Arabidopsis thaliana: one gene and its partners. The protein of the gene in region 1 interacts with the protein of each later gene in a pairwise test. Each region holds a gene or a part of one and is shown on either strand. Other genes may lie near its edges.

What was found.
Region 2: the proteins of GCP2 (region 1) and GIP2 interact in a two-hybrid assay, tested with the Arabidopsis thaliana proteins (one study listed by BioGRID).
Region 3: the proteins of GCP2 (region 1) and SPC98 interact in a two-hybrid assay, tested with the Arabidopsis thaliana proteins (one study listed by BioGRID).
Region 4: the proteins of GCP2 (region 1) and GIP1 interact in a two-hybrid assay, tested with the Arabidopsis thaliana proteins (one study listed by BioGRID).

Annotation. Positions count from the first base shown.
Region 1 is NC_003076.8:1,676,793-1,682,789, reverse strand, and holds GCP2 (gamma-tubulin complex protein 2), read right to left. Parts: upstream 3,561-5,997; 5' UTR 3,451-3,560; coding exon 3,322-3,450; intron 3,204-3,321; coding exon 2,891-3,203; intron 2,803-2,890; coding exon 2,402-2,802; intron 2,259-2,401; coding exon 2,205-2,258; intron 2,131-2,204; coding exon 2,026-2,130; intron 1,924-2,025; coding exon 1,849-1,923; intron 1,757-1,848; coding exon 1,712-1,756; intron 1,568-1,711; coding exon 1,439-1,567; intron 1,330-1,438; coding exon 1,225-1,329; intron 1,140-1,224; coding exon 1,071-1,139; 3' UTR 735-1,070; downstream 1-734. Other genes in the region: RMV1 (Amino acid permease family protein), read right to left, coding at 1-249; AL1 (alfin-like 1), read left to right, coding at 3,848-3,941, 4,038-4,070, 4,195-4,417, 4,963-5,086, 5,208-5,459. UniProt on the Arabidopsis thaliana protein: Tubulin is the major constituent of microtubules. The gamma chain is found at microtubule organizing centers (MTOC) such as the spindle poles, suggesting that it is involved in the minus-end nucleation of microtubule assembly.
Region 2 is NC_003070.9:27,742,476-27,746,532, reverse strand, and holds GIP2 (mitotic-spindle organizing 1B-like protein (DUF3743)), read right to left. Parts: upstream 1,885-4,057; 5' UTR 1,720-1,884; exon of another isoform or gene 1,521-1,719; 5' UTR 1,515-1,520; coding exon 1,311-1,514; 3' UTR 1,104-1,310; downstream 1-1,103. Other genes in the region: SARD1 (Calmodulin binding protein-like protein), read left to right, coding at 56-244, 368-464, 573-772; AT1G73780 (Bifunctional inhibitor/lipid-transfer protein/seed storage 2S albumin superfamily protein), read right to left, coding at 2,365-2,661; AT1G73770 (coiled-coil protein), read right to left, coding at 3,577-3,950. UniProt on the Arabidopsis thaliana protein: Required for gamma-tubulin complex recruitment to the microtubule organizing centers (MTOCs). During mitosis, modulates gamma-tubulin complex localization, spindle stability and chromosomal segregation. Necessary for gametophyte development and embryogenesis.
Region 3 is NC_003076.8:2,054,674-2,060,843, reverse strand, and holds SPC98 (spindle pole body component 98), read right to left. Parts: upstream 4,317-6,170; 5' UTR 4,104-4,316; coding exon 1,849-4,103; intron 1,737-1,848; coding exon 1,475-1,736; 3' UTR 985-1,474; downstream 1-984. Other genes in the region: AT5G06670 (P-loop containing nucleoside triphosphate hydrolases superfamily protein), read left to right, coding at 5,825-6,054, 6,149-6,170. UniProt on the Arabidopsis thaliana protein: Gamma-tubulin complex is necessary for microtubule nucleation at the microtubule organizing centers (MTOCs). Required for the positioning of the gamma-tubulin-containing complex on pre-existing microtubules and for the proper organization of cortical arrays.
Region 4 is NC_003075.7:6,037,206-6,041,544, forward strand, and holds GIP1 (AtGCP3 interacting protein 1), read left to right. Parts: upstream 1-1,849; 5' UTR 1,850-2,001; exon of another isoform or gene 2,002-2,489; 5' UTR 2,490-2,500; coding exon 2,501-2,716; 3' UTR 2,717-2,720; intron 2,721-2,830; 3' UTR 2,831-3,021; downstream 3,022-4,339. Other genes in the region: CRP4 (ECA1 gametogenesis related family protein), read left to right, coding at 364-732. UniProt on the Arabidopsis thaliana protein: Required for gamma-tubulin complex recruitment to the microtubule organizing centers (MTOCs). During mitosis, modulates gamma-tubulin complex localization, spindle stability and chromosomal segregation. Necessary for gametophyte development and embryogenesis.

The DNA of each region.
Region 1 (5,997 bases):
CAATGGTCCTGCTGCTTTCACACTATCCTCAATCCCAAACGGACCGCCTGAGACCTCGTAGAATATCAGGAAAACTAGTGGCAGTACCGTTATTTTCTTGATTTGGTTGACGGTTCTCGCCGGAGACGTAGCAGGGTCACCGGTGGTGACACCAATGCTTATGTGAGGAGGAGGAGGAGGAGGGTTTTCGGTGGAGATTCTTGGCTTCTGCGAGGCGGAGTCAAGATTCGGAGAGCTAAGCTCAGTCATCGAGAATTGGAACTTAAAATAATTGAGAAAGTGCTAGGGAAGTTGCTTCGACGTACACAGAACAGAGCTAGAAGAAACAAGAAACATGGAAAAGTTTGAAACTTTGAGCTCCGCGAAATCGAAAATTAAAGCTTTACACTTTGTGAAAAGAATGAATACCCAGAAACAATCGCAGATGTTGTTGTTCCAGGTTTCAGAAATTTATCTTATATTGAAATACAGAAAGAAAAAGGAAACAAGGCTTCTTATTGACAACTTATGTAGGATAATAAATTCATAAGAGATGTTAGATAACGATAAAACCTTCTTTTTTCTTTAATATTTTTTAAAAACCCTATTAGATAAAATCCATCAATGAATAAATTCCTGTATTGCCGACCCAAAAGAAAATCTTTTATATTTTAGCACTCACTCACCTAATAAGCATGCATCTCAAGGTTAAAACGAGGTTGTTTTTGTTGCTGCACTATTAGAACAACCTGTTTTCTCGCAGCTACAAACTTTAAGGTAGGAGGGGTCCACGATGTTACATTGGTGTAACTTCAATATGCATAGGATTCCAAGAATATATGTTACTAATACAATTCAAGATTCCTGCTATGCAACTTTTAGGTGCTCTTAATCTTAGAAAGTACCCAAAAAAAACACATTCATCTCATAGATTGAAACTCATCCACATCATAATACTATTCAAGGTTTACAATGCCAACACTCTTTATCGTTACTACTACTGATCCTACCAAAGAAAACCTATCATGACCTGAAAATCTCAGTTAAAAGTGAAACATCATATGACTTACTCTTGAGTTTTTATTTTTTGTTCAGAACGCTAACTTAGGATCCGCAACTCCTGAAGCATTGCCTTCACCAGTCATAAGCTGTCCAGGGTCCTGAGAGAGTCACATATATTCGATAATCATTATAAGTTCTTCCTTTAGTGTGTGACTATAGATGGCAAAAGCTTAGCTTATATACCTCCATTCCCCATTTGATGTAATCTGGAGACTCACAGGCCTTATATTCGTCTACCAAACTCTCAATTATGTCCCTTGATTCATCAAACTCTGAAAGATCATTGTCCTGTCCATATCAACATGTAGATTCTCATGATTTCAACATTAACTGTCAATGCTAATAATAGGGTGGGTTGCACTAAACATCAGCCGATATATTTGAGCAGTCAACTTACAGCAAACATTGGAAACTTTCGGTAATTGTCAAGAAAAGCTTGCTTCTTCCTCAATTTGTCATATTGGCTCAAACATCTGCTGAAAAGGTGCCTGATACTAGTGTGGCTTGCTAACATAAGACCACTGACCTGAAATATCAAATACACCACCAAACTTAAGAGTCTTCGATGTATCTACTAAAGCAGGAACTGCAGCCTTAGACATTAACTGTAAGGAGTACCAACTCTCAGCATGAGTGCATGACAGATATATATAGAGTGATATAAGATTACCCTATGGGAAGTTTGAACATACGGGGACTTCTTGGAAAGAGCAACCTGTTGAGAGTAAGATATGGAAAAAATTGTGATGCAAGTCCATGGTAAATCCAAAAGCAATAATTAATTTGACGACGCAATTCGGTTAGAACCTGTATGCTTGCTGGTCCCCAGTCTATGAAATTGACAAGCTTTCTTTCTCGTATCCTCTGCAAACTCTCATGCACCTAATATCAAGTAGTGAGACAACAGAGCAGATAACATCAACAAGAAAGAATTACCGATTCATCCTCAATATATCGAACAAAAAAATTAGTACATAAAAGTACCTGAGTGGGATCGACTTCTCCTTGAATTATATTCAATATTGATATGTACTTTGCCTGACTAGCTTCTTTGTTTCTAGCATAAGACGAAACCATGATATTTTTTGTCTGCGAATACAATCATGTTAGAAGAAAATCTAATTCAATTTTCGAAAAAAGACTGGAGAAAGCAAACAGCTCACCTGTAGAAGTCTCCTCATAACATCCAGCACAGTAGTTTTACGAATAACATTTGCCTGCCAAGAACAATTCACATAAGAGAGTAGGAAATCAATGAAAATGTCAATCATAACATTCAGAAGTCATGTTCCAGATAACAGCAGCTTCCCATAAAAATGGTTTGATGATATTAGTTATAAAACTGATTGAGATATCTAACCTGGCGCTCAACAGTCAACGGTGTATATCCAGTCATGAGGAAGTGACACCTTGGAGTTGGGATCAAAGATGCAAGCAAGCCAACCAAGTCATTATTCATGTATCCAGGATAACGCAACGTTGTTGTGCTAGCAGACATCACAGTTGACACCAAAGAATTGGTCTGAGCAAAAGTAGGATTAGTCAAATGTAGACGCTCCACAGCAATTCTGTTCAATGCAGTGTTGTCAAGAACAACAACACAATCAGCATTTAACGTAAGCCGCTTCAGCGTCAACAGTGAGTTGTAGGGCTGGACAACAACGTCACTCGTTTCCATCTGATTGGGAAATACACTGTATGTCTGAACCAACTTCTTGCTATAACGATCATTCAAAGTCTCCAACAAATAAGATCCCATTCCTTCATGTGAAAATACATAAAAAAAAGTCATTCAGTGAATAAACATAAGCTAAACGAAGATAGGGATTGGCAATAAAAAGTAAAATACCTGAGCCAGTGCCTCCAGCAATAGAGTGGCAAAGAACAAAACCCTCCAGACTGTCACTTCCATCAGCTTCACGATCAATCATGTCCATGATTTCCTCTTCAACACCTTTCCCTTGGTGATATCCACTGGCCCAGTTATTACCAGCACCACCGCCATGGTCAGAAAGGAAGATATTTTCATGATTGTAGAGATTCCGGTATTCACCATTCTGAATACCATTGATAACTCTAGGCTCCAAATCAATGAGGAGAGCTCTTGGTATATAGTGTTGGTCATCCGCTTGGTAAAAAAACACATCTTTTCTATCACCTCCCTACATACATACAAGTAGTTCATCAATCAAATCCACAATTCTATGAACAACAACAACAAACCAGCAACCATGGAATTCAATTAATCGATGCATAGAAACGAATTCGAAGAAAGAGGACCTGAGTAGCGAAGTCCTCGAGAATACCATCTTTGCTGATGCCGTGCTCAAGGCAAAGCTGTTTCCAGAACTCCATACCGATCTGGTTCCCACATTGTCCAACCTGAAGCGTAATTATCTCCCTCGGCATCTTCTTCCTCTGTAAAACCCTACCTAAGTGTTTCGAGACTACTACGCCTGAAGAGGATGATCAAACTATACTCATTAAAGCCACACTTTCAGCTTCTTCTTTACTCATTTACAGAGAGATACAGAGAGAAAACGTCGTTTTATCAGAATTCAACTCGATGGGCCATGGGCCAGGCCCATTTTAAAATAGAGACCAAAAACAGAAGTTACTTTACTACTACTACTCTTAAAGTCTTAAACTCTGGTCTCTCTCTATCTCTCTTGTCCGTGCGCATCGGATTTTGGAAACCATTGATGCAGACCTCAATCCATCTCTAACACCACTGATCTATCTACTTAGGTCTTCTCTAACAATACTTGTAATTTTCTTTCTTTTTGCTTCTTCCGTCACTACATCTATGGCCGCTGAGTCTTCTAACCCTCGCACCGTCGAAGAGATCTTCAAGGATTTTAGCGGTCGTCGCTCCGGTTTTCTTCGAGCTCTCTCCGTAGGTTAGACGACGACGCTATCCTCATTTTCTCCTATTTTCTCGTAAATGTTAAGCTTTCTAATTTTACATGTTGTTGTTCTTGCCTCTCTTTTACTAGATGTTGACAAGTTCTACTCTTTATGCGATCCGGGTAAACGAGCTCTTTCCATGGTTATTTTTCGGATCTGTGTTTGTTTTTTCCATGGATAAGTTTCAGAAAAAGATACCCTTTTTGATAAATTTTGTTCCTTTTTTTGTTTATTGGGTGGTCTTAGAAATGGAGAATCTGTGTTTGTACGGACACCCGAATGGGACATGGGAAGTGAATCTTCCAGCTGAGGAAGTGCCTCCGGAGCTACCTGAGCCAGCTCTTGGAATCAATTTCGCTAGAGATGGTATGCAGCGTAAAGATTGGCTCTCTTTAGTTGCTGTCCACAGTGATTGTTGGTTACTCTCTGTTTCTTCTTACTTCGGCGCTCGTCTTAATCGCAATGAGAGGTACGTTTGCCTTTTGTTCTTGCTTGTTTCAGTGACTTTTATAAATTGTCGAAGATAGTTTTACTGTGCTAGCTAGATTGTGGTGGTAATGATGAGAAAAAATATGTCTTTGGACAATGGACTGTATCATGATTCATGAGCTTGTGTCATCACTATTTTGTTTTTGTTTCCTGATTCTTTCTGTCACTTTAACTCTACTTGTCAATGAGCTTCTTTCCTTCTTAGGTTAAGTTTCTTTAAATGCATACCATTTTTCACTAATCCTTCTGTTTTTTGAACTTGTGCATCGTTTGGATATAGAAATGGCTACTACATTCAATACATATCTGTTCTATCGGAGCTGATGATATCGTGGTATTCACTAGGTTACTTATCCAGTTATCCTTCAAGTTTTATTTCCTTTACGTTCTATAAGAGTCTATGTTTTTGCTGGTAATGAAGCTCATAAGTTACATATGTGCGGGTATATGAGCTTATTTGATAGTCTTCTGAGATTATGCTACTGGGTCTAGGAACTTATTATGTATGTTCCATTCAATGAGCAGGAAACGTCTATTTAGTCTGATCAACGATCTCCCAACTCTCTTTGAAGTAGTGACGGGTAGGAAACCCATCAAAGACGGTAAACCAAGCATGGATCTCGGAAGCAAATCCAGAAACGGCGTAAAGGTATCATAATGAACTCTTTACTAATCTTTACCATCCCAAAACAGTATTTTCTTCTCAAAGACAGAGAAGGGTTTGATATTAATAAATTAGTTGTGTTTTGGTTGGTATTGAATTGTTGCAGAGATCAATTGAAGGGCAGACAAAGAGCACGCCGAAACTAATGGAAGAGAGCTATGAAGATGAAGACGATGAGCATGGAGACACACTCTGTGGAAGTTGTGGAGGAAACTACACAAACGACGAGTTCTGGATATGTTGTGATGTGTGTGAACGTTGGTACCATGGGAAGTGTGTGAAGATAACACCAGCCAAAGCAGAGAGCATCAAGCAATACAAATGCCCTTCTTGCTGCACTAAGAAAGGAAGACAGTGAGTGAATGAATGAGTGAGTCATCTTTCTCATTTTTCCTTATTTCTTTTTAAGTTATTGCAAAACATCCTTTTGTTAATGTATGAATACAAAACAATTATTGGTGTTAGATTCTCAAAAAGGGCGTTTTAAAATAGTAATGAGGGTATGAGACATGGAGAGAGTCATAGAGACACCAGCTGCTTAGAGAGCTTCGTCAACTTTTGATCAAATATGCCATGTGTTTGTATATGTAGCGACTCTACTACTTTCATCGTTTATGTGTGTAATCTCTCTTTAGGCTAATATAAAAAAAAATATTCTTATGTAAGGTTGATCTTCATAATCTCTCATATGGTATTTTAACTAAGAGTTTGTACTGACAAAATTTAAGTGGTTATAGTGGTGTTTTGTTATGTACACAAAACCAAAATAGTGGGGAAAAAACCTCATCTCCTGCAGTCTCTAATCCCTAAAACTGAATTGACGGGAAAAGTCGTTATATTTGTGATTTCAATTTCATAAAGTATAGTATAACCTCCATAAATTAATACTCGACAAA
Region 2 (4,057 bases), on another chromosome or scaffold:
TAAATTTTTATTATTATTAGAGAACTAATAGGAATAGGGGTTTGTTGATGTACAGATTCTGGGGCCTGGAATGTCTGATAGAAAGTGGGAAGTAACATTGAAACATGCTAGAGAGTGTATTTTGGGAAATAAGTTATACATTTCTAGAGGACCGAATTTTTTCATGATTTTGAATCCGATATGCGAAGTTATGAAAGCACTTATCGATGGTCATGTTCTCTCTAGTCAAGAATCCCTCAACCAGGTATTGAATGGTCATTTTCTCTCTATTAAAGAAGTTAAGCAATTATTGATAGCTCAATGATTGTTTATTAGTTAGAAACTGTATTTATTTTTTTAATTCATCTATGGTAATGTTTTGTTGCAGCCCTACGTTAAGAACTTAGTTCGAGATGCTTACTCAAAGGGGAACTTTTTAGAAGTGGGCGAACGAACAGCGAACGAGGCTGCTCTTTTGACACAAGGTATTACTTTAAAATAGTGTCAACATAAACACCATTTCAGTTTTTCTATAATTGCGAAACATCGTTGATTATATAGTATGTTACAACAATGTAATTTTGATTATATAGGTGATGATTTGGACCAACAATATGCTGCGAGCCACTACCAAAACATCGAAATCGATAAATCATATCAACAAAACGGATATGTTCAAGAGAGATCTACAAACAATTTGGAGATAGTAAACGAAGGGTATATAACGACTCCAGCGGAATTCAATATATGTTTCACCGGATCTTCGTCTCAAAATCATATAAACCCTTTCTAAATCCTCATCTACGTTAGTATTGGAAGACACGCCATAGTGCCTTGGCCGAGATTGGACTCTTTCTAAATAAGGGTTTAAACTTTAAACTACTACTACGTACATGATGGTAAAACATGTATTCTAGATCTGCTGATCATGATTGTACATAAAAGTGTGAAGTTTAGAGTTATATTTTTAGTTGGATGGTATACCACTTGTTCACGTTTTCACAGTTGTATGAAAACGTTGTTTTTACCATTCACGTTCAACAAATTTTTACGTTTTTACGTTTTAGAAAAATTGATTCCGCTGTATATGTACGTACTTGATGAAAGTATTGACTAAAAAAAGAAATCAAGAATATGAGGGTAACTTTGTGATTTACTTAAAGAAAGCCTCTCAAAAGGATTGAGTGGGGATGACTCAAATACTTATTACCAATTTGTCTCTGAAACTCTCTATTCAATTACCTTACCAACCCTAATTTACACATCAATAGCATAATGAAATTGAAACTTAGAAAACAAGCATGAATGATACTATTTGATTAGGCATCTTCTTAATCAACCGTAGTTGTTGTTGTAGCAGAATCCCTACGAAGCTCCTTGACGAGAGTAGCGAGAGCCTCAGGGTTAAGACCAATATCGCAAAGAGCTATAAGAACAGACAAAGTATGTCGATCAAGACCTGTCTCCAAGATGTTCGACATCCGAAACACCAGCTCCAGTGACTCTCTCGCTGTTTCAGCTGCTTCCTGATTCATAATACTCTGAAACCACCAAACATCATCCAGAACAAAAAAATATCAATTTCGGAAACGATTCAATTTACATATGAATATCTACTCTATTCTTGTACGGATCTCCATGGATGTACAGAGAATGGAAACCCTTAAAGTGGAAATCGGAGACTTGCCGACGGATCAAGAGATACATTAGATCGGAAAAAGGTTAAGGAACAAAACGAACCGATTAATCGACGGAGAAAACGAACGGCGTCGAGTTTGAGAGAGAAGAAGTGAGATCTTAGAGCTTGAGATAATTGAGAGAAACGATTCTCGATCTCGTGATCGAAGAAGAAGAGGCGAAAATGGGCCAACAATTAGAATTTAGAAATCTAGGGTTGTTTTTTTTAAGAAAATAAACCTTTGGCCGGTTCAGAGTATATTTACTGGTTCATATCAAATCGGTCGGTTAAATAAAATCCGCCGGTTTTAATACAATCGAAGTCTCTGAACTAGTTTTAATCAAGGGATTCTTTTTTGTCGGAATCAAGGGATTCAAGACCTTGTTATGATTAATTCGGCCAAAATTGACAAAATTGCATCCAAATTTAGAGACTTATTTTGTAGTGATATCCTTGAAATTGGAACTTTTAACTTTTAAGTAGCTTATGTTAGTCGAATTATCCGAAATTTCTTAAAAACATATCAATGTGAATATGTGATGATCAAGATTTATTCCTTGACGACAAACACATTAATGGAAAGCCAAACTCAAAAGTAAGAAACTTGAAGTAGAAAAACCATCGATGATGAGCGAACAGAACAGAACACCTTTTTTGGTCTTGAAAGCAAGAAACAGAACATCGAAAACTAGAACGAAATACTGGGACTAGCATTTCGGATACGGACAATGACAATCAGTGGCGATTATTTTGGCGTTTGGGGAGTTAAGGAAAGATTTGAAGTTAGGGTTCTTCAAGTACTGGCAGATACAATGCTGTTGCTCCTTCACCTTGCTGCAACACAGATCCGATGGCTCAGACCCTTTCATTATGGTCTCCAAGCATGGACTCAGCTGCGCAGGATTACATGGATCTACTGCAGCGACTCTGTTTTCTTGGGCAACAATTAAAATGAGAAGGATTGTACAAGTGAAAAACACTGGTTTTGTGCAAGAACCCTTCATTGTCTCACTAAGTTATAGAAAGAAGAAGAAGATATTTGGTTTGGAGTTTAAAGTGGGTTTCTCTCGTTCTATTTATAGAAGAAAATGTCTTTGAGTGAGTCACGTTACTCAAACGAGAGTTTGTGGTTGCAGGAGATCTCGATATGTCTAAAAGAGATTAACTTTTTTCTAAAAGGCTCGGACAAAGCATAAAAACACCTAGGCACCATTTTGGAGAAGTTATGAAACCACGTGTAACCAAAATAGATGTCAGCTTTCGGCTACCCCCAGTGAAGGTATATGAATTTGTTGACACTTAAACAAAGTAATGAGAACACCTTCATAATTATATATTTTACTTCATTACTATTGTACTAAGCACAAAATATGACTTAAATTTCTAATTATATTCAAAAGGCAGAACTTACAGCCAACATGGACCAAAAACTGATCTGTTTCCATTCACTAGGCAGTTGCTTCCTTTCAAAATCTTCAATGTAGTGCATAAGTCTGTGGCCCAAAACCAAGACCAATTAGAGTTCATTGATCACAATGTTAAACATATATCAGGCCATGAAAGAATAAAAGAAGATAAGCTGCAGTATATATTAAGTTTACTCAGACACTTTTCTAGAATCCATATTCTCCATGTGGTATCAGCCACCAAGGTTTTCATACTTAGCACATAATGAATAGGATAAACAAAGCCCAAGACACATGATTAAGCAAGCAATCACACGCTTAAAGATTAAATAGTCTCTAACAAGCACAGTGTTAGAAAATCTCTAAAGTACTAAATAATTTGTATATCCATTTAATCAAGTTATACAAGTAGAAAATGCAAAATGTGACAAAAAAATAAGAGACTGTAAAATACAGAAGAAAATGTTCTCTTTGCGAGTACCGTATGGTGCGAAATCCAAAACTTACCATGTGTTAATCACTTTCAGAGTAAGAATAAGACGAGCGATTAGCTTTCAGGGCATCAGTCTTAATATTGACATCAGACAAGCCAACATCATTGAAACCATCAAACTCTACATCGGAATCAGACGAATCACCATCTCTCAAGTCATCACTCTCAATATCTGAATCAGACGAATCACCATGGCCATCACTCTCAATATCAGAGTCAATATCGTCAACCTTATGTGCATCGTTAACTGGATACTTACGCACCACATCCATCACTTCATCATCACTATCATCGTGCTTCCCTGATAACTTCCTAATCATCAATGCCTCAAATAAATCAGGTATAGCATCCTCATTTCCATCATCCAAAAAGCTTTGAATTCTTTTTTTCAGCTCTGAAATACCAATTGGATTAAGAAAGTAAGCAAAATTATAATCTTTACATGAAAAATTATGAGCTGATCAGCTAACTCTGTCATTGCAAAATTCTCTTCCTTTTCAT
Region 3 (6,170 bases), 380 kb from region 1:
CAGTATTTTGAGTTTCTTGATACGCATTTGACAATAAAGTAATAGTGAAAAAGTAAATTAACATAATAATGAGAAAAATGAGTGGTGAATGCAGTTATGGAAGGAAGATGAGATGAAAGAGGAGGTGATTGGAGGTCACAAAGGATGGCTTGTCATCGAAGAAGTTAGAGAATTGATCAACAAATTTGTCTAGTTCTCTCTTTTTTTTCATTTCCTACCTTTTTTTTTTCTTTTAAAAAAAATTAATATGTACAGTCAGTTTTCTTATTTTCTTTCTTTATACAATTTCAAACTTAAAAACTCCTTTTTTTGATAATCAAGAAATTTCACATTTTTTTTTCTTTTCGTCGAGATTGAGCTTTGTTAATTAAGAATGGCTAAAGTCAAGGTACAATTGTTCAACCATTCAATTAGGAGGACAAGCATAATCAGAGTAGTAGTTACATTGAAGACAACCATGTTTGGCAAGTAAATGAGCTACTCTATTACAAGTTCTACGAGTGAATGAAAAGCTAATGTTTTGGAAGAAATTTCACATTTTGATTTCTATTTTATACTAATAATTTCAATTAACGATTAAATTAATCAATTCATTAATTGAGCATCATCGTCGCTTTGGCCGAGTGGTTAAGGCGTTTGCCTGCTAAGTAAATGGGGTTTCCCCGCGAGAGTTCGAATCTCTCAGGCGACGAATTTTTTCACCTTTTTTTTTTCCTTATATGTTAACCTCCAGTTTGGCCTGCACTTGCAAATTAATCGACAACCGTGAATTGTTTTTTCTTTTAAATTGGACACGATTGCTTTAGATTTTGAGACTGTAACTCTTGCCAAAAGCTACTTGTTTTTTGTTGTTCATATGCTTCATTCACACAGAGATAGATCAATGTGGATGAGAGGAAGAGTATCACAAAGGTTCTTCTTAATTGCAAGAGAAAGGCTTGCGGATTAAAATCACTGTGAGCTAATGCTTGTGCTCAATCTCAGGCCGTGGCTACAGAAGCTTCTAGATAGTGAAAAATTCAGAGTTTGGAGCCTTTTACACTATGGAGATACACATTATGAAGAAGCAACTGATTCCTTCTTATATCAACCAAGTCATAAAACAAATCATACAAATCAGTGAACCACAGAAGAAGAAAAAAAACTAAAGCTGGAGATCATCAGACTTATAGCACAAACTCAAACACAAACCTTCCCCAATTTACCAACACAAAGAATCTGTTTCCCAATCCTAAACTTTGAAACAAGCCATTGAAAAAACAATCTATGCAAAAGACAGAAAATCTATGAGGCAGTCTCTAAATAAGAAACAGATTCTCCCACGCACCTAGATTTTAAGAAAAGAACCTCTGCATCCCTGGTTCAGGAGAGCCCATGCTGCAGTCAGCGGTTAGTGAAAGACGTAGATAATGTCTTCTTCTCTTGCGATTGTGCAATATGCTTTTCAACTAAACCTGATACTCTTTCAACTTTCTTATCCTTTGGAATGCAATCGGCTGTAGAACTCAGTGAAGTCAAGCCGGAAAAAGAGAAACTTGAGATCTACAGATTGTTGCAGAGGCAAGAGAGATAGGAATCCATCAAGTGACGATGTGTATTCCTTTGCAATACTGTCCATATCTTGACTCATGCTTTGTAGAAATTCTCCAGCACGCTGTGTTAAGCCCTTCCTACCCTCACTGATCCATGAACCGGGCTCTTGCGATTTGTTTTTTTCTCGTCCTGATTCTTTAGATCTGCAGGAAATCGGTGATATTAGAGATCAAATTGTGACCCTAAAATCAGAGGAAAATGTTTGAGCAATAGTTTAAGGTCTACTTTTGTTTGAATATAAAAGACAAAACACACCTTATTTGCAACTCGTGAATTCCTTCATACAAACGATCTGCATGACTCCTGAACCGTAATATAAGCTCAAACAGGACGAAAAGTGATTCGCGGATGGTCTGTGACTGTTCACCCAGAAGAGATTTTCCAACAATGGCGTTGAGGTACTTCTCATGCGCTGCCAAGAGATCATCGAGGTCTTTAGCAGCTTCCATCTCTTTTGAGAAATTAGACCATGATACCTCCAATACCTCAAACATGATGTAATACTGAAAGTTAGTAACAAAATGGTTCATTTCATTCCAAAGGACCTGGCACCGCCTCAGGGCTGAGAGTAATTGCAACTTCACCGAACTTTGAAGCTTAACAAATGAGTTCGAAGTGATGCAATTTGGTTTCATGGTCTTCCAAATTCCGATAAGAGCATGCTCTACCCGTTTCAACTTCCAGAGAAAATTGAACACTCTCAGGTATTTAGACAAAACAGACTCAGTAAACACGGTATCTAATGGAACCCTTGCCTCGTATTCCAATGAGAATACATCCCAGCCTCTGTCTCCACTGCCATGAGGCATCATCTTCACTCTCAATCTGTCTAGCATGTCACGGTCATCATACTGTGCATTTGATGCTCGTATTGCAGCCTCAAGAAACCCAGCTAGCTCAAATGAACTAATATTATTGGCTGGCTCAGAAAGCTTGGGTCCTACAATATCCATCAAGTACTGGACAAAATCACCTTGACCAAGTAGTAAATAACGCTTAATCGCAAGACAATGCTCCTTAAATTTATATCTCTTATATAGAACATCCAACAGATGCTTGTCGATTCTCTTTGCTGCCTCGGTTACAAGATGTTCAAGTGCATCTGTTTCACCATACCCGAGACCTCCTCGCCTAGTTGTTGTCCCAGAGGCAGCTGCTGCTTCTGAAGCTGCATCAGCCCACCCGTGGTCATCACAGCAAACACGAAGAAAGTTTATAGATTTCCCAGTTCTCAGAATTCTCTGAGCTAGACTTGGTGAAATAAAAGATGGAAGCATTGCTGGGTGGAGCTTATAGCCTTCTCTCCAAAGCAAATCGACTTTAACCGGCTGACCTACGACAAAGAATTCACCAAAAGTATCTTCCAACTCCCCTTCTAGAACCCAACTTCTCACCATTTCAAATAGCGGAGAACACACACATCGAAGCAAACTCATCATAAAATCATGAACAAGCGGATCACCATGCTGTGCGTGCAAATGGATAGCCCCAGCCATCGCCCCACCTCTCAAAACCTTACACTTGTCAACCAAAACAGCCATCAGTCTCATTTTCACCATAGGCTCCGCAAACCATACCGACAACCTCCTCAAAGAAAGGTAATTGTTTGAGCTTGCTGATTCAGAAACCAAAGGAATAGGATTCATGGCCTGCGCTTCTAGCACAGCTAACAACTTATAATAATCAGAAAGCTCATCTTGCAACGCCGCACAAAACGCTTGCCCAACAGTTCCCACATCCTCAGCTGGAAACCGATCCATACTCTCAGTTATAAAAGTCTTAACCTTTCTAAACAACCAACCAAGCTCAGAGAGCATACGAACCATAATCCTCGTAGCTCGAGGCACCTTAACAGACTCCTGCACGGCATAACCGTCGATTTCACTGTTAAATTTGACATATTTCCCATCAATTCCTTGGCTAGCATACAAAACATCCCTCACTAGAACCTCCTCCGTCACTTCATTCTCTTCCTTAACCAAAATGGCATACTCTCTAAACGCAATATCCCTCAAATTCTCAGGATCTTTACTAACCAACAAAACCCCATTACTCCAATCCTTCTTCTTAGCCTCTCCACGGCTCAAAACCCCATTACCAGTATCACCAATCCCCAAATTAGGTAACAAAACCGAGGAATCAAGACCATTTATAGCCGATTTACGATCGTCAGAAACAATTTTAAGCAAATAAACAAGAGCCCATTTGTTATTGACACTGCCAGGTCCAGTTTTGGAAGCGAACTTAGTGTAGAGATCGGCAAAAGCGAGTGCGTCGGAGGACTTACCCTGAGTAGCGAGACGGCGTTTGAGAGACTCAGCGATAGCGGTGGCGTCAGGGAGGACGGAAGGAGTAAGACGACTAGAGAGGATACGAAAAGCGTAACGAAGGGTTTTGAGGAAGGCGGGAGAATTGGGATCGAGATTAGGGGTTTGAGGGTTTTGTGAGACGAGACGAAGAACAAGCTCTTGTACTAGATCTGCAGCCTTCTGCTGATCGTCGTCTTCCATAATCAATTCAAGCTTTTGCCTTTTTTTTCTTCTTCTTCGATTTCACCTTTTTTTGGATTTTTTTTGTTCTTCGAAGTTTTTTTGGTGAATTTGATTTTTGAAATCGAAAGAGGTTTTGCAGAGTTTGGGCGAGTGAAGAGAGTAGTGAGTGAACGAATAAAAAAAGATTGGGCTTCTTTTGGACTTTAGAGCTATGTAATTATTTTTCCTCGGCGGGCAATTGAATACATATGTTGAAATCCAAAAACATTGGAATAAAAAAACATTATGCAAAATATCTTCTCATTTTTTTTGTTATAAGTTTTATTTCAAATATATTATTTGAAACAACGGAGAAAAATAATGTTTGAATTAAAAAAAAGTTCACAAGTTAATTGATATGTTACGTAGAATTTTTTTGTTTAATGGAATTTTGAGAATTTTCCATTTTAAAATTAATAAAGAAATATATAAATATGAAAAAACCTCATAATATTTAATTCACAATAAAAGGTACCAATAAAAATGTATACTTTTTTAAAAAATTAACTAGCATTTAAAAAAGATTATTTGGTTTTATCTACCAAATTTATGTATTTATTGAGCAAAATAATAAAAACAGTTCATTTTAGACATTTGTTCTCTGAATAGAGGAATGATTTCTCTACTCATTTTAGGTAGTAAAATGTTTCTCTACTCATTATTTTCATCAATGAAGATGAAAATAAAGGAAGCTTATTTCCACTTTAATCAATTGTAAAAAGAAAAGTACAAGATCGGAATTAAAAAGTAAAAATATTAGACCTATTTTTACGTATGTGGAAAAATATTCCCTGTAACAATCACTTTCTACTTTTTTCACTAATTAATTTCTCTATATTCTGTTTGTTACAGATTGCACACCATTTATATATATACACTACTTTACTATCATTTCCATATCTTTATCTTTTTCACACCAATTTACTTCCTTATCTAATCATAATTGATTCAACAACAAAAGTTTAGAAGTTTATAGCTATTTATGACATAGAAAAATCCGTGAAGGCAAATACGTACAATTGTACATGTGTACGTATACGATTCTTCTCTTATCTTTATCTCTTAATGATGTTTTGGTGATTACAGTTTAAGAGAAGAACGAATAAACAATTGAAACTCGGGTATTATCACTTCAAACTTCAAAGGCAAGCGAGAGATTATTATTAAAAAGTAAACACTCTTTTACACAACAATCGCAATCATCTAACTAATTACTCTTTTAATGATGATTATGCTTTTCTCTTCTTTAAGTTCCTCTTCTTCTTCTTCTTCTACGTAATCACTCACTCTCTCTTGCATCATCATAATCCTTTGCATGCGATTCGGCTTTTAGCGGCGGTGATGCTACATTGAGTTAGTACCCACTTGCCTCTCTTCTTCTCTTTTATTGCAATTTTCGACCTAACCCAAGTGTTCGAAGCTCGTGGCATTTCCGTAATTCTCTTATTCCTCTCATTGTGATTCTCTCACTCGCTTACCGATTGAGCTTTGTAAACTCCCAATTTCATTGCTTTCCTGTCAATTTGCAAGTTGCTCTATGACAATTTGGAATCTTTAGCTCAGTTTGACAAAAAAAAAGGAATCTTTAGCTCATTACACAGTCGAGCATAATTCCGTTAGCTTGGTTTCAGTCTGTACTTGATAAAGTTTTGTACTTTCTTCATTTTTTCAGTCACTCGAAGTTTGAATTTGGTTTTGTGATGGGATCTAAACAAGTATCAAAGACTAGAAATGGTGGATTTAGCAAGTTAAAGACTGTTGAGTCCTCTGCATCTTCAACAACCTCGTCTTCAAAACTTTATCAAGAGGCGTCTGTAGATAGCCATAGCTCCCCTACTTCTTCATCGGTTCGAAGCAAGCCTCAGTTACCACCTAAGCCTTTGCAGTCCAAAGAAAATGTCACTGTCACTGTGCGTTTTCGTCCACTCAGGTGAATATGTTGATTTCTTTTGTGTAGGATTCAAACACTTTAGTTTTATATGTTTGTTCTGTGGATTGTTGACATTGGTTTATGCTTCACTTAGTCCAAGGGAAATCCGGAAAGGA
Region 4 (4,339 bases), on another chromosome or scaffold:
TTCTCTAAGAAAATATTATACATCGATTTGTTTGTTTGAATTTTGAGATATAAAACTGGTGATTGATTAATTATGTGAAGTCATACGTTATACTTTTATTTTCTCTCTTTTAATCAATATTTCTTAGTTAATGTTGCTTCTTTTACACTTGGAGTTTCGTCTTTATTTTGATTTATAAAACTGTTAATCAAATACCTAATTAAACCATTCAAAGATGTTATTAAAATAATTAATATCACAGTTTTACATTTCATTCCATATAAATAAGCAGGAATCTTATTGTTGTTCATCAATCAAAAACAAACAGAGCATTAAGCATATATTTGGCTATACTAAGGCTTTTTTATTTCTCAGTTTCTCATTATGCCTATCAAAAATGTGTTTTCACTCTTAGTGGTTCTATGCATCATAGTTTCTGTAAATGCTCAGTTACCTCAGTTTCCGGCTCCGTTTCTTTTTCCATTTTCGTTTCAACCGATTCCTGGAATGCCAGGATTACCTGATATAACGAAATGTTGGTCATCCGTGATGGATATTCCTGAATGCATTGCAGAGATTTCTCAATCCATTTTTATTGGCAAATTCAGTAATTTAGGTTCTGCTTGTTGCAAAGCATTTTTGGACGCTGAAGCCAACTGCATACCAAAAATTCCACTTATTCCGCTTTTCCCTCCGATGCTAAAAGAACAATGTTCAAGAATTGCCGGTGTAACTCCTCCTACACCGAAATAGAGTTTTAAATTATTATTTTTTAAATAGATAATTTTTTTTCCAATTTATTTCTTACAATTTTAGCTTACGCTACATGTTATACTCCAAAAAAATATCATATAAAGTAAAAACATTTGAGAAGTTGTATTTGGGTTCAATATTTACTCATTCTTCAATTCTAATGAATAACAGCTTGAAACATCGATTCTATAATTAACTTTGTCTTACAATGTTTCAAAACTTGGAATTATATTAGATAATTCCCTTCTAAATAGACAGTTGTGAGAATTAAATAATTTTTTACGAGATTTAAATTTTACATAGTAATCTGTATTTTCTAAATACAAATTTTAATCTTACACATTCTATAGATTCTATATAACATGCTTTTATTGATTACATATAATAAGGTATTTCTCAGAGTACAACACAAAGATAAGACAAAGACGACTGACGACATACAACATCAAGAAAAAGACGGACGCAACGGAGCCTCTAGATGCATATTGTTGTAAACAAATTGAACGATATAATTGAGGGAAAAAAATAAACTTAAGAAAATAAAAGAATAAACATATTTAAGTTATTAGAAAATATTAAAACACATATTAATATTTTTCAAAACAAAATAAAGAACTTATACTTCTGTTTTGAATATATCAATTTTAATAGAATTAGTTCATTAGTTCAATAGTTTAGTATATTAAATAAAAAATTTGAATATAGAAACATTATTTTTGACTTTATGTATATATTTCTTTTTCAATAAGGTTAGAAAAAATTTCTATTTATGTTTTTAAATATAAAAAAATTTGATTTGACATGTGCGAATATCTTATTAATAAATTTGACACGTGAGTTAATAATTTTGAAAACTCATTTCTTATATAATGAAATAAGCATTTGTTCGAGAAAAAAATATTAAAAACAAACATCTTCTATATGATTTATCTCAATTATAAAAAATCTGTTTTTTTCAGATGTTAAAAAAGAAAAACAATTGTGTCAGAGTTATATTATTTTCTTTTCATTAGTATAATTCATTAAAAAAAATTAACACTATCAATCTTAGTGTCGGAGTTATATTTCAAACATATTTTTGTTTAGAATATTAATATGATTATTGAAAGACAATAAACTTTTTTTCTTTTGACATAACACAATTTACATTTATTGAAAGACCTCCAAGTCCTTTCCCTTCGTCTCCCACTTCTCACTTCACACTGTGAGTCTGCGACTATCTCCAAGACCAAGCTTCATACTTTATTTTTGCAAATTCCGTTTCTAAACGTAAGTTTTCTTATCTTCGTTTCTATCAGATTACTCCTTAATTCTTAGTCTCGAAATAAAAAATTTGAAATTTATTCGATGTTATGCAAATTGCCGCCGACATAAAAACCCTAATTTCAATCTCATTTTTCATCTGAATTACATTTCTTTTGAATTGAATGTTTCTGGGTTGTGTTTTGGTTTTGGTATTAACTGATCTATTAGACTAATCCTTGTTCACCTATCAGATAATATTATTGGGCTCTGAAACAAATTTGACTCACTTTTGTGTGTGTGAGCATTGTATCTTCACTACAAAGCTCTAGCTTGAAATGTTGTTGTGTAATTTATAAGACTCTAGTTTCTAACTTCTTATGTCAAAATCACCTAAGAGTCTTTGACTTGGTTCTTGTTAGATCATAGTTCACTTACTTTTGTCTAATTTGGTTTGGTAGAAACTCTATAATTCACTAACTACCTTAGGACTTTAAAATTGTGGAGTTTAACAGGTGTGATCAGTATGGATGAGGAGGCATCTCGGACAGCAAGAGAGTCACTAGAGCTTGTGTTTCGCATGTCAAACATCTTGGACACGGGTTTGGACCGGCATACTTTGTCAGTTCTCATAGCTCTTTGTGATCTTGGTGTTAACCCTGAAGCTCTAGCTACTGTTGTGAAAGAGCTTCGTCGCGAGTCTATCCCCGATTCTGTCACAACCACACCATCTATACACTGATCAGGTATTGAGAATTTTCTCAGTCTAATGATGATTGACGAGTCTATGCCCAAGTCTACCTCTTTCTGTTGTTTTCAGATCTAACATATCGACCGGTCGAAATTTATGTTGCAGGTATGCAATGGATTATACAAGTATTGTGGTTGGTATGTGAATCTTGTTACTACTTTTTTTGTATCATTTAAACAAAATTTGTATGGATGAATTATAACTTCTTTTATTTGTATGAACCGTTATTTGAAAGCCAAAGTAGCAGAATGCAAAAAAAAGTATATAATTGTAATTTTATCTCTCAAAAGCTCATAGAAAATTCAGTGATCATGTGTCACTAAAGCAGAATGCAAAAGGAATTTGGGATCATCTGATTCACAACCCCTGGAAGGTAAAAACATTCTATGTATCCCCGAAGAGGGAAATCACACTCAATCAAAATCTCTGCACACCAAATCTCCGTTTTACATTCCTTAGTATAAGTCTTCCACCGAACTATCACTCTCCTTCCTCAGGCCAGGGTTTTGTCACCGAAATAAGATACTTAGAGGACGGTTCTTCAAGTCCTCTAATCGTGAACGTGCATATATCACCGCAGACTAGTTTCGAGTTTCAGAAACCCTCGCTGTCCACCATACGTTATTCTTTGACTCTAACAAGCAAACAGTAGGGCACAAACCAATAATTTTCTCGCGAGAAAATCTTCCAGTACATTTTGTTGGCTCCCAAGTCTGTGTCTTTGGGTCGTAAACTTCTCCATAATTCTCAGCAGTGTCATAATACTTACTGCTGATGCCTCCAAACACAGATCTTACCGTCGATAACATTAAAACATGCTTCTTCTCGAGGGACATGCATCTTGGGGAGTTGACGCAAATGATGAGTTTTACAACCAAGTAAATATCTGAACCAAGTGATACAACAGTCGAAGAACTAGGATGTTGGTAAGGAAAGTTAGGAAGTGAAGGGACTGGTATCAGTTTCTGGTTGGGAGAAAGGGAATGTACGAACCAGCCAGGTTTTTTATTTAAGTTTAAGCAAACATAGAGACACTTCTCCTTTTTTCCTATAAGGGATCTTGCGGCCTCGAGGTCAGGGGAAGCTAGGAGTGATCGGAAAGTCTTTGGAGACTAGAGATAGGGTTGGATAATGGCACACTTCTACAAAGTATTGGAAATGTGTTTTTCTTTAAGCCTAGAGACAAAAGGCCTGAGTTTTACTCTTTCACAATGGCTAATACATCCATAGATTTCTGTCTTTAATTGACTCTAATACTTGTATTTCTTCCGTGGCCTTTACGCCAAATCAATCTGTGGTAACATCGGTAGGAAGAAAATATTATAATATTCGTCTTCACCTGTTAATCTACTCGGTAAGTATACGGTATAGTTTCTGCGTAATGGTTAAACTTTTAGAAGACAAGTATTAAGCATATATAGACAAAGAACCAAAGTAATAAGCTAGTTATATACCCACACTCAATGGTTAGCTTAATGATTCACCAGAGACGCTTTACTCTTCAAACTCACTCATCTCACATTCATCATTACTCCACAACTGTACAGCTGAAGAATATCAGTCACACTGAACACTCTTTTTAACTCTATTGTTTGCCAAAATCATGCATGGTCA